Tribolium castaneum: one gene and its partners. The protein of the gene in region 1 interacts with the protein of each later gene in a pairwise test. Links are inferred from orthologs where the notes say so. Each region holds a gene or a part of one and is shown in the gene's direction. Other genes may lie near its edges.

Region 1 (2,867 bases):
GGGTATCACAAAAAAATAGAGATCTTAGTAATAAATCATTTGATTTTTATGTATTTAAAAATATCAAAACTCGACAGTTAAAATTTAAATTCGTTTTATTATAATGTTAAAAAAACGACTATTGGGCACCAGTTGGTAATAGTACTTTAGTTTGGTAGATTTCTTGCTTAAAAACGAAAAAACTCGCAGCCAAAAATGTAAAGTAGGCTTTAGGTCAATTTTGTTGAAATTATTTGAGTTGATTGAGTTGATTCCTGAGTCAAAAATTCTGTCAAGGAAAACAACGATTTCAGCACCCATTTAAAGATAAATAATATAATTTCGGACGATTTCTTGTTATAAAATGAGAAAACTCGCTGAAAAATTTCTATTTTCTGTTGGTACCTTTTTAAGCCTTCTTTTTAATATGAATATTACAAACACTGTTTTAAGACACGTTTCCGATAGCAACGTGTTTTTACTATTCTAAAACACGCTTCTCATAGCAACGTGTTTTAAATTAAAATGTTGTAACGAAAAAAAATTGATAACATTTATACGAAAACGCTTGAAGTTCTCGAGTGTGTTCTCGCTCGACAGCCCCCGAACTTTAAGCTTATGTTTTCGCACTCGTGTTATTAATAACTTTAATTTCTTTAAACTGGCTGGAAACGCAAAATTAAACATTTTTGAAATCAGTTTATTTTATACGGTTTCTTGCTCAAAAATGTTAAAAACTCGCTGTCGAAAACCTGAAGTCGCTTTATTCGCACCACAAACCTTTTGAAACATGACTGAAAATGGCTTATTTTGGATGATTCCTTGCTTACAAATTAGTAAACTTTTATAGAAGACACTGAAAGTTTATTTTGGACAATTTCTTGCTTAAAATCGAAAAAAAGCACGTGTTTATTTCACAAATCGGCTGATATGTGGAACTAATTCAACAGAGAAAGGCCATCATTAAAGTATGCTAGGTTGAACTAATTCTATTAAAAGATGTGCATTATTTGCATATTTGCTTAAAAATGTAAATTTTAAATCACCGACTTAATAATTTTCTTACAATAAACGACCTGTGTGTATGATTTCTGTATTTTATTCATCAAAATAAAGCCAACTTTTTGCATTTTGAAATTAAACCTCCACTTGTTTGCGAAATATAGATTAAGAAGAATTTTCGGTTATATATTTGCAAGTGAACAAATCATTTTTTTGCGTTATTTTATGTTTGATTTAAGCACGAAAAAACCTGAAAAATCGGTGTTTGTTAACACCTTGGTTGTTTGTGCTTCCACTGAAAATGAAAAAGTCTGTGTTGCCAACCTAATTTCGGAGTCATCGGCTGCTGGTATTTTATTCGATTTAATTCAAAAACCAGGTCTGCTGTGCGATTTGCTGTGGTCCGACCCTGATAAAGACGTGCAAGGTTGGGGTGAGAACGACCGCGGAGTGTCATTTACTTTCGGCGCTGATGTCGTTAGTAAATTTTTGAACCGTCACGATCTAGATTTGATCTGTCGCGCCCATCAAGTGGTGGAGGATGGGTACGAATTTTTCGCAAAAAGACAACTAGTCACGCTTTTCTCAGCCCCGAATTATTGCGGCGAGTTTGACAACGCTGGAGGGATGATGAGTGTAGATGAAACGTTAATGTGTTCTTTTCAGGTGAGGATTAGGTTTTTGTGTTTTGGTTCGTTTTGTAATTTTTTGTGTAGATTTTGAAGCCGTCGGAAAAGAAAGCCAAGTATCAATACCAAGGAGTGAACTCAGGACGTCCCTCAACGCCTCAGAGAAACCCAACAACTAAAAAGAAATAAAGTCGAGTAATTGACACCTCTTTTCATTTTTATTCAACTAATGCATTTGTAACGTTTATTCTCTAATACTGCTAGACAGTCAGTCGCATTGTGTTGAAGTATTATTATTTTGTATATTTATTTAGTTTTGTTCATTTTTTTTTAATTAAATTGTGATTATTTTGACTGATTAGGAGTTTTCTTTTTGACTGACTGGTCGTATTTCTATTGTAAATAAATATACGCAATTATTAATTTATTTAGGAACGAGACCAGTGATTGGTGTATTATTTAAAGAAACTATTGTTAAATTATCTTGCTTGCATTTCCATGTGCATCATAAAGTGGCCCAGCCAAAGACTTTGTGATTGGTCATTAAATGTTGTAGAAGAATCATTTTTCTTTGGTTCCTAAATGCTGCAATCGCATCTTGACATTTTGCAATCACCTCTTTGTATAGAAATTGGCATAAACGCGATTTTTTCACTCGTACTATCGTTTATGTTTTATATTTTATTTCGTTCTATTGACAAATCTATTTCACCTAATGTACTTTAAATTTGACAAATAAATCTATATATTACTAGCGACGCCTTTTTATCTTTCAAACCTTTGTCCTTTTTCTCCGATTAACACAATTTAGAATAAGTGGAAATTTTTCTGATCTTCTAAATATGAGTAATGAGTTGCTTTTTATGACAGTTTTTATGAAGAATCAATAAAAACTCGAATTAAATAAGAAAAACTGGAAGCGGAAGAGGTCATAATTTGCAGGAGGCCAGCAAACAGTAATAAAGTGCCCAAAGACTAATTTCTTAAATATTTTATTCAAATATAGGCGTTTACCAAATTTAATTTAGCAGCATTTTTACACAATTTATGAGATACACAAATACGTTTAGAATTTTATCATAAAACAAATAACCTTATCGAAGTGTTACAATAATTACTTACATTATTCATCAAAGCTTAGAGATACTATCACCTTTTTTATCACTATACCTGTAACTGTGACGTGGTTTCAGAAGGCGTAACAATTTATAATTTCACCCTTTATGCTTTTTGCGTTTATTTTTTTCTGTTGTACAT
Region 2 (4,119 bases), on another chromosome or scaffold:
TCACCGTGCTTGTCTTTGGCCCCCACATCGTGTTTGCGCAAGAGGCGGGACAGGGATTTCAAATCGTTATTAAAAACAGCTTGGTGGAGAGGATAACTGTCATTTTCCTCGGCCATTTTTCAATTCTAGTTTCCTACTAACCTAATTGGGGGGTTTTAAGTTACCAACGCAAAAAAACTGTGACGTCACCCAGGATGCTCACCAGTTTTTCAATTTTTTTAATAAAAATTATAAATAATTTATGCGTAAGCGACTAAAAAAACTAGTTTTTGTAGTAATAAGAAATAATAATAATAAAACAAGTATAATTTTGGGTAGAAAACAAGTTTTTATCAAATAACTACGAATGTGTTAGGATTTATAAAAATACGTTAGGGTTGTAATAAGAAAAAAATGTTTTTTTTTAATTTTGCATTAAATTATATAAAAATAAACAAGGGTTGCCATTTGAAATAAGCAAAATAAAAAGTTCTAGGTGTGGAAAAAAATTGTAACAATTCAAATCAATAAAGATATAAAACCAATTTTTTTGAGTTTTATTTTTAACAGTAATCCCGGAAGCAATTAAAAAAAACTTTACCGACATGAAAGAAGCTAGAAAGGCATCCTAATAAGCACTAACAAATAATAGCATGCCATTGAAAAAAAAATTATTATGATGTCATACTTCTTTGGGACACTCTGTATAATCAAAAATCTTCTTCTAAAATACGTCCTACAGTATAAATAACGTCTGTAGAATATCGAAAGTCCAGCTTTACTAATAACTGAGCTACAGAAGACAGAAGCTGAGCTGGACCACCCTGTATATGACGCTTGAACGATTAAAAAGTGTGAAAAACATGCCGTAGCGTTTAATGTTTTCACTCTTTATGCGTTAAAAATGTGGCGTAACGTGTGATTTTTTTGTGTAGGATGTAGAAAAAACGTTGTATGCATCTCGTAAGTAAATAAATATCTTTTTTTAACTTGTAAAAATTGCTGAACTGTTCCAATTCGTTAAAAAAAGTGTTACGTTACGCACTTGTTGCATAAATAATATTTTTACAGTATTTTAAAAACTAATAGTGGCACAGAAATCTGCGTTTGCTGTTAAATATTTTAAATTTTACTCTAAACGTGCAAATTTTTTCAAAAAAAAATTTTCAATTTCTAAAAATAATTATAAATAAATTAACTAATTAACTAATAGAGTTGCCACAAAAAAATTTTTAATGTCACGAAAGTTTCTACTGCACTCTAACAATTTAAATAAGCATACTGGATGACGTAGTTCGCGCGCTTTGCGTCTATTGGCCAAGCCTCAGCACACAATCAGTGACTTTTTTGTTACCAACCGTCCCCAATGTCATTCGAGTCAGCTGATTGTGATATTTTAGTGTGGTTATAAAAGCCAAAAAAGTGGGTTTTTTGTTTATATTTATTTATTTTCAAATAGTGCAATGAAATATCTGGGTTATTTAATAACCGGAAGTGAGTTGCGACCTAATTGCGACACTTGAGGCCAAGCCCCCTTTTTCAGATGGATAAATACACGGTGGATTTAGACCAGGTTTTGAACGATTTCGAATATAGCGAACTAACCGACCAACACAGTTCAAACCACAAGCAAAATTTCAACAATTTCAAAAACTCGAATGTCAAACATTCGATCAACAACGTCTTTCACAGCCTGAACGAGTATTTAAACACCGATATTTCACCCAAATGTGAGCCGATTTTGCCCGAGACTGGCGAAAATTCCGCCAATAATGCGCCCGAAGAGGTCACTCAAAGTGACGAAAACCACGTAATTGAGGCCGAAAACGGCGAAATTAACCACGTAGTTGAGGAAGAAACTGAAATAATCTCACTAGTAGAGGATAAGAACGAGGAAAGTGATCAGGAAGAATCTGAAGAAACGGTTGAAGTCGAGTCACGCGACTCGCCCCCGGTTGAGGAAAATCAAGTCGCTTTGGTTGCAACAAACGAGTCAATTGAACAAAAGACTGACGAACCAAGTGACCTTGAGAGTGAAGAAAAGGGCGACACAGGTGTGTCCAAAGTAGGCTTTGATGACGACATTGATTTAGATGAGTCGGAATTGAACCGATATTTGGACGAATTGGAGCAAGAATATGACAATACAACACCCAAAACAAGCGAAGAAGACGAAACAACATCAAGTGTGCGGCCTAACAACCTGCCATTGCCACAACAAGAGGACGAAAAACCGGTCATAGACCTAGTGGGTTGGTACCACCGCCGCGAAAACTTCCCCCAGATTTAGTGACTTTTTTAGGCGAGCCTGGTTCAACTCCCTATAACAACGTTTACGTAAATAAGGAGTTGCCCCAGGAAGTGAAACAAAACAGTGATACTGAATGTTCAACTTCCGCTTCCCCCACTTTTTCGGACATTTCCAGTGAGACAAATTCGTCGTGCACGCCCTCCACCGACACGGTGGAGGAGCCGGCACGGGAGGCGGCCCCAACCGAACCCCCCGAAGGGGGTGCCGGTGACCAACTGGAGCCCCCGCAAGTTTCAGACGCTACGTTGGGTAAACAAGCCCCCGTGTGGATCCCCGATTCGGAAGCGCTCAATTGCCAACATTGCGACACTAAATTCACTGTAATCAAACGTCGCCACCACTGTCGTGCCTGTGGTTACGTCCTGTGTTCGAAATGTTGTAACCTTAAGTACAGGCTTGAGTATCTCGACGATGTGGCACGAGTTTGTACGAAGTGTTACGAACAGTTGGAGAAAGCCGCCACGGTTACCAATAGTTCAGACAGCGAGTCAAATTCCCCCAGATCGCAACCGAATCCGAATAATCCACTTGAGTATTGTTCAACTGTACCACCACATCAGCAAGTGGCAGGGAATGTGGCACCGCCTGCTGTGATGGTGCCAGTTGGGGTGCTTAAGAGGAAAGGGTCGAGTAAAAGGACTAATAAAAGTGTGATGTTTTGCGATGGAATTAGGCCCGGGAGTGATTTAACCAATCTGGATAATGATTTTAATTACAGTGGGGTCAAAGGGGGCGAGAAAAATTTTCCGGTTGTTGATCCGGAAACTAATAGTTTTATACCCAAGGGGGACGATTTGCCCCCGACTGTCACCATAAACAAATCAGGTAAAAGTTGGCCATGGAAGGTACCATTGTCCAATTTGAAAAAAAAAATTATACTCACAATTAATCAAAAAAAATACTGGCACTTAAAGTTGGCTATGGAATTGTGACAGTTACCTCCTGTTACCAAATTAAATTCATAGTCACTGATAAAAAAGTTTGTCCAACTTGAAAACAAAAAATTGATACTCACAATTAATTAAAAAAAAATACTGGCACTTGAAGTTGGCCATGGAAATGTGACAGTTACACCCTGTTACCAAATTAAATTCATAGTCACTGGTAAAAAAGTTTGTCCAACTTGAAAAAAAAATTGGTACTCACAATTAATTAAAAAAAATACTGGCACTTAAAGTTGGCTATGGAATTGTGACAGTTACACCCTGTTACCAAATTAAATTCATAGTCACTGATAAAAAAGTTTGTCCAACTTGAAAAAAAAATTGATACAATTAATTAAAAAAAAATACTGACACTTAAAGTTGGCCATGGAAATGTGACAGTTACACCCTGTTACCAAATTAAATTCATAGTCACTGGTAAAAAAGTTTGTCCAACTTGAAAAAAAAATTGGTACTCACAATTAATTAAAAAAAATACTGGCACTTAAAGTTGGCTATGGAATTGTGACAGTTACACCCTGTTACCAAATTAAATTCATAGTCACTGATAAAAAAGTTTGTCCAACTTGAAAAAAAAATTGATACAATTAATTAAAAAAAAATACTGACACTTAAAGTTGGCCATGGAAATGTGACAGTTACACCCTGTTACCAAATTAAATTCATAGTCACTGGTAAAAAAGTTTGTCCAACTTGAAAAAAAATTGATACTCACAATTAATTAAAAAAAAAATACTGGCACTTAAAGTTGGCCATGGAAATGTGACAGTTACACCCTATTACCAAATTAAATTCATAGTCACTGATAAAAAAGTTTGTCCAATTTGAAAAAAAAAATTGATACTCACAATTAATTAAAAAAATAAAATACTGGCACTTAAAGTT
Region 3 (4,135 bases), on another chromosome or scaffold:
TTTTACCACTTTTTGTTCATTTACCTCGAATGTAGGCAACCCCGACAACTTTCCAAATAAACTGGCTGCAGACGCACAAAAACCAGCCAAAATGGCAAAGTTTAATTTTCCGCTCATGTTTTGTACAATTTCACTACATTAACCAAATCACCAAATGTAAGACAAAACTACACATTTTATAAAAGAACTTAGCTTCCAACCAAGGGATTATTGCATCGCCATAACGTTAAGTAAAACTATTTAAATAATAAATGGAGAATTTCGAAAAAAAGGGACAACTCTACCTTTATCACATTAAATCGTTTACCTATTTCTTATCAAATTAAAGTTTTTCACAGAATCTGACAGTTGACTGATTGTCGTAGCGATTTGACATTTACAAACTCAAAGCCTGACCATGCTGATAAAGTCGTGGGCAACAGAGTTGGGTAAATAGTTAAATACCATACTGGGCTCAAGCGTGAAATATTCTGATGTAACAAAAAAAATTCTGTATTTTATTACGTATTTTTACATTACTTTTTACTCCTAAATAAAAAAACTGCCAGTTTTTAATCCTCTAAGCCAAATACAGGGAGAAATCGATAACTCTGCCATTTAAAAAAAAATTGAAAATATTTTTTAGCTCAATTGAAAGAAGAACCCTAGATCTTTCCTTTGGTGATTTCATATTTCTAAGAAATAATAACAAGCCCTAAATGTTTAAAATTAAGTTTCCAGAACTTTAAGCACCCATAAGTTAATTTTTTCAAATGAAATGCCACTAGTTTTATTTCATTAAATCGTAAAGAACCTAATTCTCCATTGATCTTTACTAGCATTCCCTATACTTATGTTTAATAGTTTATGTTTTAGTCAGTTGCAAATTCAAAAATTTTCAAAAAATCTTAAATACTATTTCCAAAATCGTTGAACTTAGGTATAGGAAAAGCTGATAAAACTCCTTTTGAAAAACATAGCTTTCTATTCAAAATAAAAAAGTTGCTAGCCATCTTGAAAATATTTTTATTGCGCAGAACTTAACAGATTACGGCTGAGTACCAACTTTCAAATAAATTTTTTTATTATAACTTTCAATACTTCTTATGTGGGGGTTTAAACGAAACGGGCTGTATAAAATTATGTAAATTATAAAATAAACTGCAAAAACCATTGTCTTCATCACAACTACAATTTTTTTCGCCAAAAAAAACCGGAAGTGTGATTTTTAGAAATGGGAGTTGTTTCTAAGAAAATGATATATTTTGCTAGCTAGCGGAAGTCCTTACGGTCTCACTTCCTCTCCCGTGGTGCGCGCGACTTGATCGACGCGGTAGATTCGCGCAGGTAGTTGGTGAAAGAACGTAAACTCGTAAAATGCAGTGGAGCTTATCCGAAAACCGTTCCTTCCAACGCACTGTGGTGTACACATCTGCGATGTTTTTGTGATAAAATGTGGAAAATTCGAAAAAAATGTGCGAATTATTGTCGATAAAACTGTGCGTTCAAATTACATGTGGACTTTCAGTGACGACTGCGATGTGTAGGACTTAAAAATGCGGCTAACCTGTTTAGAAAGGTGAGAAAAGTTTTTTGAAATTTTTGTTTAGCGTTCCGGTGCTCATTTCCGGTTGTTTTTCGATACATGTGAGGGTTGAATGCCTTTCAGTGCGGACTTTACGCTGTTTACTATGAGATTTATCAACTTTTCCAAACTTTTTGCTATTGTGTTTGCTCACGTTCGACGAGTTATCAAGTGTATCAAAGATTACAATTCATGATCAGAGATAATAATTATTTGTATTTTTTTCCACAGGAATTTTTTTATGAGTTGTACAGTAAAAAAAATTATTCTGGCACCAAAACTTCCCAAAAAGTTGTTGGTAACATACAATTTTTTTTTAATTTTTTTATTGTCATTTTAATCGTTCCTGTAATTGTTTGTAATTTATGGACTGTTGTAATCGGATGTTCGGTACAGTTAGCGGCAAAATAATTGCTCGTGACGTCACGATACCAGTTTGACATCTACCTTCTTGATTCATTCATTCTGATCTTAGAAATTGTTATTGTTTTGTAGTCACTGGAGGGACGAAGCAAGTCCTAGTCTTTCCAATGATTAATTAGTCAGAAATAAATTATACTAACATTTATTAAAAAGTTAAAAACGATTATTACATATTTGTAAAATGTGGTTATACAAAAATAATGCTCAGTTTTTACAATATATGCAGTAGATAATTTTCGGCAAAATTTCCATGATAAAATTCTTTATCTTTTTGATATTGCGAATGTTTGCTACTTCAGTGGATGTCTTTTAATAATATCTTAAGTACCTAAGTTAAGTGTGGATCGATCTTTTTAAAAATCTAAATCTCTTTTACTTTCTGTATATTTTTTATATTAATTAGTATTAAGTCGCTACACAAAACATTATTTCTCATGTCGATGCTTAACTATTATAAAAAAAATACGTAAAAAATGGCGCTAACCTCCAAAAATAATTAATTAAATAAAAACTAGAAATTTAGGCAAAGATAATTAAACATCAGAAGCACCAGAAATTATAAAAAAATTCGATCATGTAATATTTTAATACATGTTTTAATTAATAAATATTTATTATAAGGAATTTTGGAAAAATTCAGTATTTAGCTCAATAGTTTAGGTGTTAGTTTTTAAGTTTCTCAGCTGTTTTTGTACTCATTTTTTTATTCATAATTTAATTGTACATAGTTTTTAGTTTCTCTCTATTTTTCAGGTATTCTAGTCTCAAAATTTCTGTTTCACAGTTTTATAGTATTAATTTTTTTGTTTCTCAATGTTTCAGTATCGCAATTTTTAGTCACACTTATAAACATCAGAAGCACCAGAAATCATAAAATTTCGATCATTTATTATTGTAATGCAAATTTTTAATTAATAAAAATTTATTATAAGAAGTTATAGAAAAGTTTTTAAGAAAAGTGTGTAGTTTTTGAAATACAGTAAAAATGACTTAGTAGACACACTTTGTATTTTTTTAATCGGCTCGATTTTTACGTAACTAATTGAATCAAAATCGCTTTTTAATAATAATAATAGTTCCTAATAAAATTTTAGCAGATAATTACGAATCAGGAAATTGACTCACCCTGCCTTTGTAACAATTAAATCAGACCTTGATTAAAACAGCAATTAAGATTGTATTGAAATTTTCTTATCAAAAGTTTCCCAGCTGTTATTGCTCCGTAATCATTGACTTATTTTGATAAAATTTAACTAGGAATACTGGTTTTTCTGTCGTAAATTGCAAATCAAAAGATCAGTGGCTGTTAACGTTGCTTACATCCATGTAGCAATTTGATTTTTACATCATTTTTATTGTTGCGTTTTAATTGCCGACCTAAATGCGCAAAGCGGCTCTCGTTTGAAAAATTACAAAGAAAAGACTGTGATAGCTGTCAATGCACTTTGAATGATGGATTTAATCTTGAGCTGAAATCATTTCGCGTATAAAAAGTAAAAATGAAATGCATTTGATAAAGAGCTTGATTTCTCTCGTGGTTAGCAACTTGCCACAAGAAAACCAAATACATGGCATTGACTGTCTGTGTCAGTGACATCAACTTCAAGCCTTAAGGATATATTGTAAAGAGCATCCTTGACACCTTACTAGACATTAAGTTCCTTATTGATTGCGCTAATAACACTTTCATTGTGTTTAGATTTTATGTAAACACGGAATTGGTTTGTATAACAGCGACAATTAATATTATTTTTAGAAATAAGTGCACTGTGTGAGAGTGGTAACAATTAAGACAGTTAGGGCAATAAGAAATTATGGGTGTTTAAGTAATTTTCCAGTTAATCCCGTTGTGACACTTTGTCCAATTCTAGATAGAGCAAATTACGTTAAACCACCGTTAACTGCAATATATCACCATCGATCGTAAATGCAGCGTGTAATTAACCTGTAACATTTAGATTAAAAATTTTCACAAAGCTGAAGTAGAAAGTTGGATTTGCAATAGTGTCACTTTGCTAAAAATGGAATTTATGTAATCTCCAGTGATGTATTACCCCTCCCGAGTCGTGTTACTAAAAATAGTTGTAATAAAATTAATCAACATTTATTCGCTTATTGGCACAGTGCATATTTTGGTTCTAAACGATT
Region 4 (3,171 bases), on another chromosome or scaffold:
ACTTGTTACCGCATGCTAAAAGACCTGTTAAATATACAAATAAGTAAATAATTCGATGACGCAATCCGTTTAGATTGTAATAAAAGCATATCAAGTGCCAGAGACCACATGTTACTAATTTTCGAATAGATTTTTTGCAGTTGTCGAGAATCTGCTTGGACATCTTCGAAGTTTACATCTTCCTCATTGCCGCGTGACAGATTCTACCACAGAGGGCCAGAGTTGTTGCGTGCGTAAGTATGGGAAGTCTGTAAACTTCGAGATGAAAGTGCAGTCGACTCGTCATTTATTTTTATCGAATAATAAAGCTAGCGCAGTAATTAATACAAAAAATATTCGTCAACACTCCTCGACAGTGTTAAAAAATTACAAAGGCAGCGGAACCGGCGATTTCACTGCGCTTGCGTTGTGCAAACATAGTTACCTAAGCTCTTCAGTGATTCCCATAATCCACGCACTATAAGAAAAAGAGCGGGTTAAAAAATGAAAAGCACATAATTAACCACTGAACAAGTTGACCAAACTGTTGTATGTGTAACGAATGCAACAGGAATTCTTTTGCTGAGATAAAACAAGTAACATAATCTTATTATTCGTCACAATTCCGCAATTTGCAAAATGTAATTCGATATTTTATTTATCAAATTGTTTCATTTGTAGCGCTAAAAGGGGCGCAACAATCGAGCGCACCTTGACATTCACTAAATATAATAACAGTTGTGTAATAGGAGCGATAATTGATTTTATGACTGATATTTTCTTTCTTCCACTGTTTGAATATGTAATTTTTCCTTAATTATTTCAAGTTGAAGGACGTTTGGTGGATTTACGAGGACTTTGTCAAGATGTTTAGCCTCCGATCTTGTTTACAAAATAAAAACAGTTTGTAAAAGATTTCTAATTTTAGTTTTTTGCAGCGCCGGTGTTACAAGAAAGCGACATATTCATGGACGCTCTTGCGGCTTCAGCAACGTCGAAAAAAGAGCCCAAGAAGCGGAAACGACGTCCGAGTGTCACAAAAGACACTCCAAGTTCCCCAACAACGCAAGAACCCCAAACACCAACATCGCCCGTCACCTCGCCCATCGGTTTGAAAAATATCGCGGCGCCAAACTTCTACCAGGACACTTTACAAACGGAACAAACCGACGAAAAGGACGAAAACAAGGAAGAAACCGAACGGTCGGGCACCCCGATCGAAGAGGACGAGCGGCCGCGGACGGACGGCGGCCTCAAGGGCGTCCTGGTCTACACCAAGAAGAAAGGACCGAAAAAATCGGTCAAATTCAACGACAACAACTTAACACAAGTGCGCTTCTTCGAACTGGACGAAACCGAGCGAGTGAATGTAACGAAGAACTTCATGGACATGGCGAAGATGGAGATGACGAGCGAGCGCGAAGCGCTGCAAATGTCGCGGAAACTGCCAAACGAGGACATAATGGAGCCCCAAACGATGTGGCGGCTGCCGTACCTGATCGACTTACCCGACCCCCTGGCAGCCCCCGGTTGCAAAAGTTTGGAGAAAGACATACAATTCGCCCGGGAAAAGAGCGTGCTCCAGGCCCTGTACTTCGACAAGCGGAAAATTCCGGATAGTCCGGAAGAACCAGTCCCGGAGACGCACCAAATGAGCGACCCCATCAACATTCCACTTGAGGACGCGGACAGTCAGGAGATGGACCTGCGGAACACCCCCTGGCCGGAGCCGAAGGGGTCGCCGCCCCCCATGCAGGAGAATCTGCCCCCGCAGATATTCTCCAACATGGCGGTGCCTTTCCAGAACTTCCAGCCCCCGGCGTTCCAGGGCATGCCGCCGAGGTTTGGCCCCCAGAACGGGCCGTTCGGGGGCCCTCCGAATATGATGCCCAATGGGAATATCATGGGGCCGCCCCCGGACATGATGCACCAAGGGCCGCTTAACCCGAACGCCTTCGGGCCGGAGAATTTCAACAATCCCATGATGAATGACAATAATTTCCCCATGCCGTTTAACCCCCCGAATATGGGGATGTTTCCGCCGAATAATTTTAATATGAACAGAGGGAGAGGGGGCTTCAGGAGAGGGGGTAATAATGGGCCGTGGATTAGGATGAACGGGCCCGGAAATTGGAACAATCGGGGCGGTGGGGGCAGGGGGCGCCTGTGCAAAAACGTGAAAAATCATGGATATTGTAGGAATATGGATAAGTGCCCCTTTATCCACCCCAAATGAGCGACTTTTGTGGCTTTTAATTCGATAAGTGTTCTTGTGATATAGTTAAGAGTGTAGTTATGTATATACATTTTGTGATTTTTTAAGTGTAGCAGACTTTTTTAAAGTACAAATTACTTAAACGTAAACGTGACCTACATATGATGAGGATGTTGTCATACATTTTAATTTATTCAATTGTGATTTAGCGCTAGAGTGAACGATGTATGTACAGAGTACTATTTCACACCGGTGTAAATAATTATTAGGTATGTTTTAAGATGTAAAGAGTAAGATTTTGTAAAATACATTTTGATGTTAATTTTTCCAAGCAAATTTAATATAATGTTAATATTAATTGAAATGGATATTTATCAGTGACATTAATTTTATACTTAATTTTAAGAGCGGATTATTTTCATTTTTTAAATAAATTTTATAGGCACAGACTTTAACAGTTACGTACGTTTTTCATTATCACAATAACAATAATATGACCCACTTAACACAAAAAACTGGCCAAAACTGGAAAAAGCTCCAGACAAAACAAGGCTAAACTAAGCCGCGTGTTAAGTATACAAATTTTTATTTTAGGCTTCTACATTTAGGGAATTTTTAGTTAGTTGGTGACGCATATCCAATAAAATTTACATATTCGTATTTGCAGTGTTGCAAACTCTGTTGACCAAAATATATTACCAACCGAAACAGTCTTTCTGGATCACGCGTATTATTTAATCTTCAAAATGAATGTTTGCAGAGAATTATTTTCATACATTTATAATGAAAAAAGTAAAAAATAGCATTATCACGACCACACACTAATGAAAACAGGTTCAAACAAGTGAAAACTTGAACTTAATCTAAATTATTTATATCAAGACTTGTAAAATCCGTAAATCAAAGTGAATAACGCCGATCATTTTGTTGAATAATTTGTAAGTTTAATTTAAACTACTGTAATCGTTAGATAGTAA
Region 5 (3,435 bases), on another chromosome or scaffold:
TTGAATTTAACCGCGAGTTCAATGGAGTGATTTACTCCAAAGGCTACTACAACATGCCTGAATGTCGCTACGTGAACGAAAATTCCGAAATGACGAAATACCGCTTCACCGTCAGTTTGAACTCTTGTGGGACTGAATTTATCAACGCGTTTGATACTCAAGGACAGTCGTACCTGGAGAACGTCCTCGTGATCCAAAACGAGCAAGGGATCCAGGAGGTTTGGGACACAATCAGAGCTGTGAGGTGCCTCTGGGAGGGCAACCTGAAGGACTCCCTCAGCGTGGCGCTCAGCGTGGGGATGCTAAGCCAGGAGATTGTGACTTTCAGTGGGGACACCGCCATGGCCAAGCTGGACATCCAACTGGGCAAAGGCCCATTCGCGCCCCCGGCCAACGGTTTGGTCAAAATCGGGGAGCAAATGACCCTTGTTATCTCCGTGACCGGAGACCCCGGTTTTGACATCCAAGTCAAAGACTGCAGGGCTACGGACTCGACCGGCGACCGCGTGTACCCCCTAACCGACGAAAACGGCTGTATTCTCAAACCCAAACTATTTGGCGCGTTCCAAAAAACACGAAACACGGGAAATACCGGCGCTTCCATCATTGCCTACGCGTTTTTCAACGCTTTTAAATTCCCAGATGTGATGGATTTGATGATTCAGTGCAACATTGAGCTTTGCAAAACCGACTGTCAGGTGTGTCCAGAGCCCAACCAGCAAATCGAGCCTGGGAGGAGGCGCAAACGTGACCTTTCGTACTATAATAACACTGACGGGGTCACAATGGGGAAGCACCTGAGGGTCGTTTTGGCGGAGGATTTGAACGATATTGGCAATACTGAGGCCGCGTTTGAGGGGGAAGTTTGTATGACGACGCAGAATTTTCTACTAGTTTCGGCGATTTTGATCTCGCTACTCACTGCCAGTAGTGTACTAAGTGCTTGTCTCTGGTTGAAGAACCAACGGATTGCTCACAAAGGGTGACAACTTTACCACAATCCTGCCAATGTAGTTCCGTCCATTAAGTTATTGTGACTCCAGTATTTTATTTAAGTTTTTTAATTATCGTAGGCCCATATTTATGTAAATACTTGACTAATAAAGTAAGAATTTTGTAGCGTGGGGTTTTCTTTTATCAAGGTTGACGACAACGACAGACTAAATTTGTTTAATAAAAAAGCATAATTTTTTTGTATGGGACTTTATTGATTGAAATTTACATAATTTGAGGCGTAAAACTAGTAAATCATTACGATTCATTGTAAGCGATTAGTTCATAATACATATAAACGAAAAAAAAAAATGGTCTGGGTCAGGGTTTGAACCCATAACTTTTGAGTTGGTGTTGATCAGTTGATGATTCCTCGGTCATAAGCACTTTCGTACTACATAATAGCAGGTTTTCTCAAATCAATGCGGTGCCAAATCGGTACAAAAAGTTTAAAACAGTGATTTTATAACAAACAAACGATGGGCTTATTATTTGGGTGCGTTTTAATGTCGTTAGATTGACAAATAACGAGGTTGTTTTATTCGGCCTTGTGCAACTTCGGACGTAGCGTTATGTCACCTGCCAAAAAAGCGACAAATGGCAAACCATTATGAGGTGCCAAATTGGTAAATAATCCTTGAAAAATTGTGTTATTGGCCCCTGAACCCCTCACTTATCATTTCGCCCCCTTTTCTGTCACACAATCCACAAATCGTGTGTTTTTGTGTGTTGAGGTTATGCTGTTTCAGGGCAGGCAAGCCCCCCGTGGGTTTGCATTTGGACGTGCTAAAGGGCGACAAACTAATACAAAAATTGATGATCGACGACAAAAAGTGTTACTTATTTGGACGCAACGCCCAAATGAACGATTTCTGCATCGATCACGCGTCATGTTCGCGGGTTCATGCAGCCCTCGTTTGGCACAAACACTTAGATCGGGCGTTTCTGGTGGATTTGGGGAGCAGTAAGTGTCACGTGTGCGCAACTTAGGGCTTTTTTGTGTCAAGACTTGGATAATTTGCGTTGTTTTAGCCCATGGCACCTTCATAGGATCATTAAGACTTGAGGCGTATAAACCCACTCAGTTGCCTATTGATTCTAGTTTTCACTTTGGGGCGTCCACGCGAAATTACACGATCAGGGAGCGGCCCCAGACGGGCATGCGGCCGATCATTGACGAGATCGAAAAGGCGGGCGAGGAGACCGAGGGCGGATTGCTGGGGCTCCCCGAGACCGAAACGGAACTCGATGTAAACCACCCCAACCAGCGAAGCTGAGAGCTTTACAAAAAATATTTTTTTCCATAGAATTTGACGGAATTTAACACCGCCCACAACCGGCGGATATCAATGCTGGGAATCACCGACGACACGGAAAAACGCAACACCAACCGGAAGCGCAAACGCCAAGTCGTTTCCTTCAACGAGGACGAAGAGATCATAAACCCTGAAGATGTGGACCCGAGTATCGGTAAATTCCGAAACTTGGTCCAAACCACCGTTGTACCTTCAACCATCAAGAGGGCCAAATTCGCGGCTGAGAATATCGGAATCCCCACTGAATACAAAAATCCCAAAATCCTTCATCCCTCCGCCCCCGATTTGTACACAGACCTGCCCCCCGAATCCCACTCTCCAACCAGTTCAGGGAATTTAAGCATTTACAGTTCGTTAAGTTCACGCCTTGGAATGGTTTTACCCAATCCGGCGCCAGATGTCGACATGGGACAGAACTTCGCCCCGCCCACTCCCTTTGTCCCGCCCCAAGTACAAATTGCGGACGCCATGGAGCCCAAGAAAAAGAAGTATGCCAAGGAGGCGTGGCCTGGCAAGAAGCCCACGCAAACGCTATTGGTCTAGGATTAGGTGTAAGCTTTTGATGTAATTTTCTCAAGGTCATAGATTAAATATTCAATAAAAAACGAAAAGTAGTTTCTTTTATCGAAAAACATGGCGAAATAATTTCTGAATTCTGGGAAACAGTTTCAAACTAACACCAACTTGACAAAAATAGGTTTTTTATTTCACTACTTGATGGAATGCAAGGCACTCTCGATTGAAATATCAATCAAAAAATTAATATTTAATAATGGACAATACCTCTGCTGGCACCTTCTCCCGGCCTTTGAGCCCCTCGAGCTCCATTAGAACGAGACACCCTGCGACTTCGCCACCTGCCCCTCGCACGAGCTGGCAGGCAGCCCCTAGACTGCCCCCCGTGGCTAACAAATCGTCCACAAGCAGGACGCGTTGCCCCTTACTTATGCTATTTTCCTGAATTTCAACAGTGTCATGACCGTACTCGAGAGCATACTGCGCCGACAAAATTTTCCCCGGTAGTTTACCCTTTTTCCGAATTGGAACGAAAGGTATGTTCAAATCAATCGCCATCAACGGCCCCAAGAGAAACCCCCGAGCATCCAATCCCACGATACATTCAGCC

The links.
Region 2: the proteins of serine/threonine-protein phosphatase PP1-beta catalytic subunit (region 1) and Sara interact in a two-hybrid assay, tested with the Drosophila melanogaster proteins (2 studies listed by BioGRID). The link is inferred for Tribolium castaneum from reciprocal best matches to the Drosophila melanogaster genes flw and Sara.
Region 3: the proteins of serine/threonine-protein phosphatase PP1-beta catalytic subunit (region 1) and MYPT-75D interact in a two-hybrid assay, tested with the Drosophila melanogaster proteins (2 studies listed by BioGRID). The link is inferred for Tribolium castaneum from reciprocal best matches to the Drosophila melanogaster genes flw and MYPT-75D.
Region 4: the proteins of serine/threonine-protein phosphatase PP1-beta catalytic subunit (region 1) and serine/threonine-protein phosphatase 1 regulatory subunit 10 interact in a two-hybrid assay, tested with the Drosophila melanogaster proteins (2 studies listed by BioGRID). The link is inferred for Tribolium castaneum from reciprocal best matches to the Drosophila melanogaster genes flw and PNUTS.
Region 5: the proteins of serine/threonine-protein phosphatase PP1-beta catalytic subunit (region 1) and NiPp1 interact in a two-hybrid assay, tested with the Drosophila melanogaster proteins (2 studies listed by BioGRID). The link is inferred for Tribolium castaneum from reciprocal best matches to the Drosophila melanogaster genes flw and NiPp1.

The regions. Positions count from the first base shown.
Region 1 is NC_087402.1:10,011,060-10,013,926, forward strand, and holds the end of serine/threonine-protein phosphatase PP1-beta catalytic subunit, read left to right. Parts: intron 1-1,360; coding exon 1,361-1,647; intron 1,648-1,697; coding exon 1,698-1,799; 3' UTR 1,800-2,364; downstream 2,365-2,867. UniProt on the Drosophila melanogaster protein: Required for cell adhesion in non-muscle tissues and in maintenance of muscle attachment. Vital for larval development.
Region 2 is NC_087401.1:15,933,872-15,937,990, forward strand, and holds the start of Sara (zinc finger FYVE domain-containing protein 9), read left to right. Parts: upstream 1-1,319; 5' UTR 1,320-1,473; intron 1,474-1,522; coding exon 1,523-2,231; intron 2,232-2,281; coding exon 2,282-3,115; intron 3,116-4,119. Other genes in the region: ankyrin repeat domain-containing protein 13C, read right to left, coding at 5-116.
Region 3 is NC_087394.1:36,197,649-36,201,783, forward strand, and holds the start of MYPT-75D (protein phosphatase 1 regulatory subunit 16A), read left to right. Parts: upstream 1-1,329; 5' UTR 1,330-1,558; intron 1,559-4,135.
Region 4 is NC_087398.1:6,659,062-6,662,232, forward strand, and holds the end of serine/threonine-protein phosphatase 1 regulatory subunit 10, read left to right. Parts: intron 1-917; coding exon 918-2,215; 3' UTR 2,216-2,655; downstream 2,656-3,171.
Region 5 is NC_087396.1:21,737,798-21,741,232, forward strand, and holds NiPp1 (nuclear inhibitor of protein phosphatase 1), read left to right. Parts: upstream 1-1,363; 5' UTR 1,364-1,590; coding exon 1,591-1,619; intron 1,620-1,742; coding exon 1,743-1,957; intron 1,958-2,025; coding exon 2,026-2,243; intron 2,244-2,300; coding exon 2,301-2,852; 3' UTR 2,853-2,920; downstream 2,921-3,435. Other genes in the region: EGF-like domain-containing protein 2, read left to right, coding at 1-986; Aprt (adenine phosphoribosyltransferase), read right to left, coding at 3,069-3,435.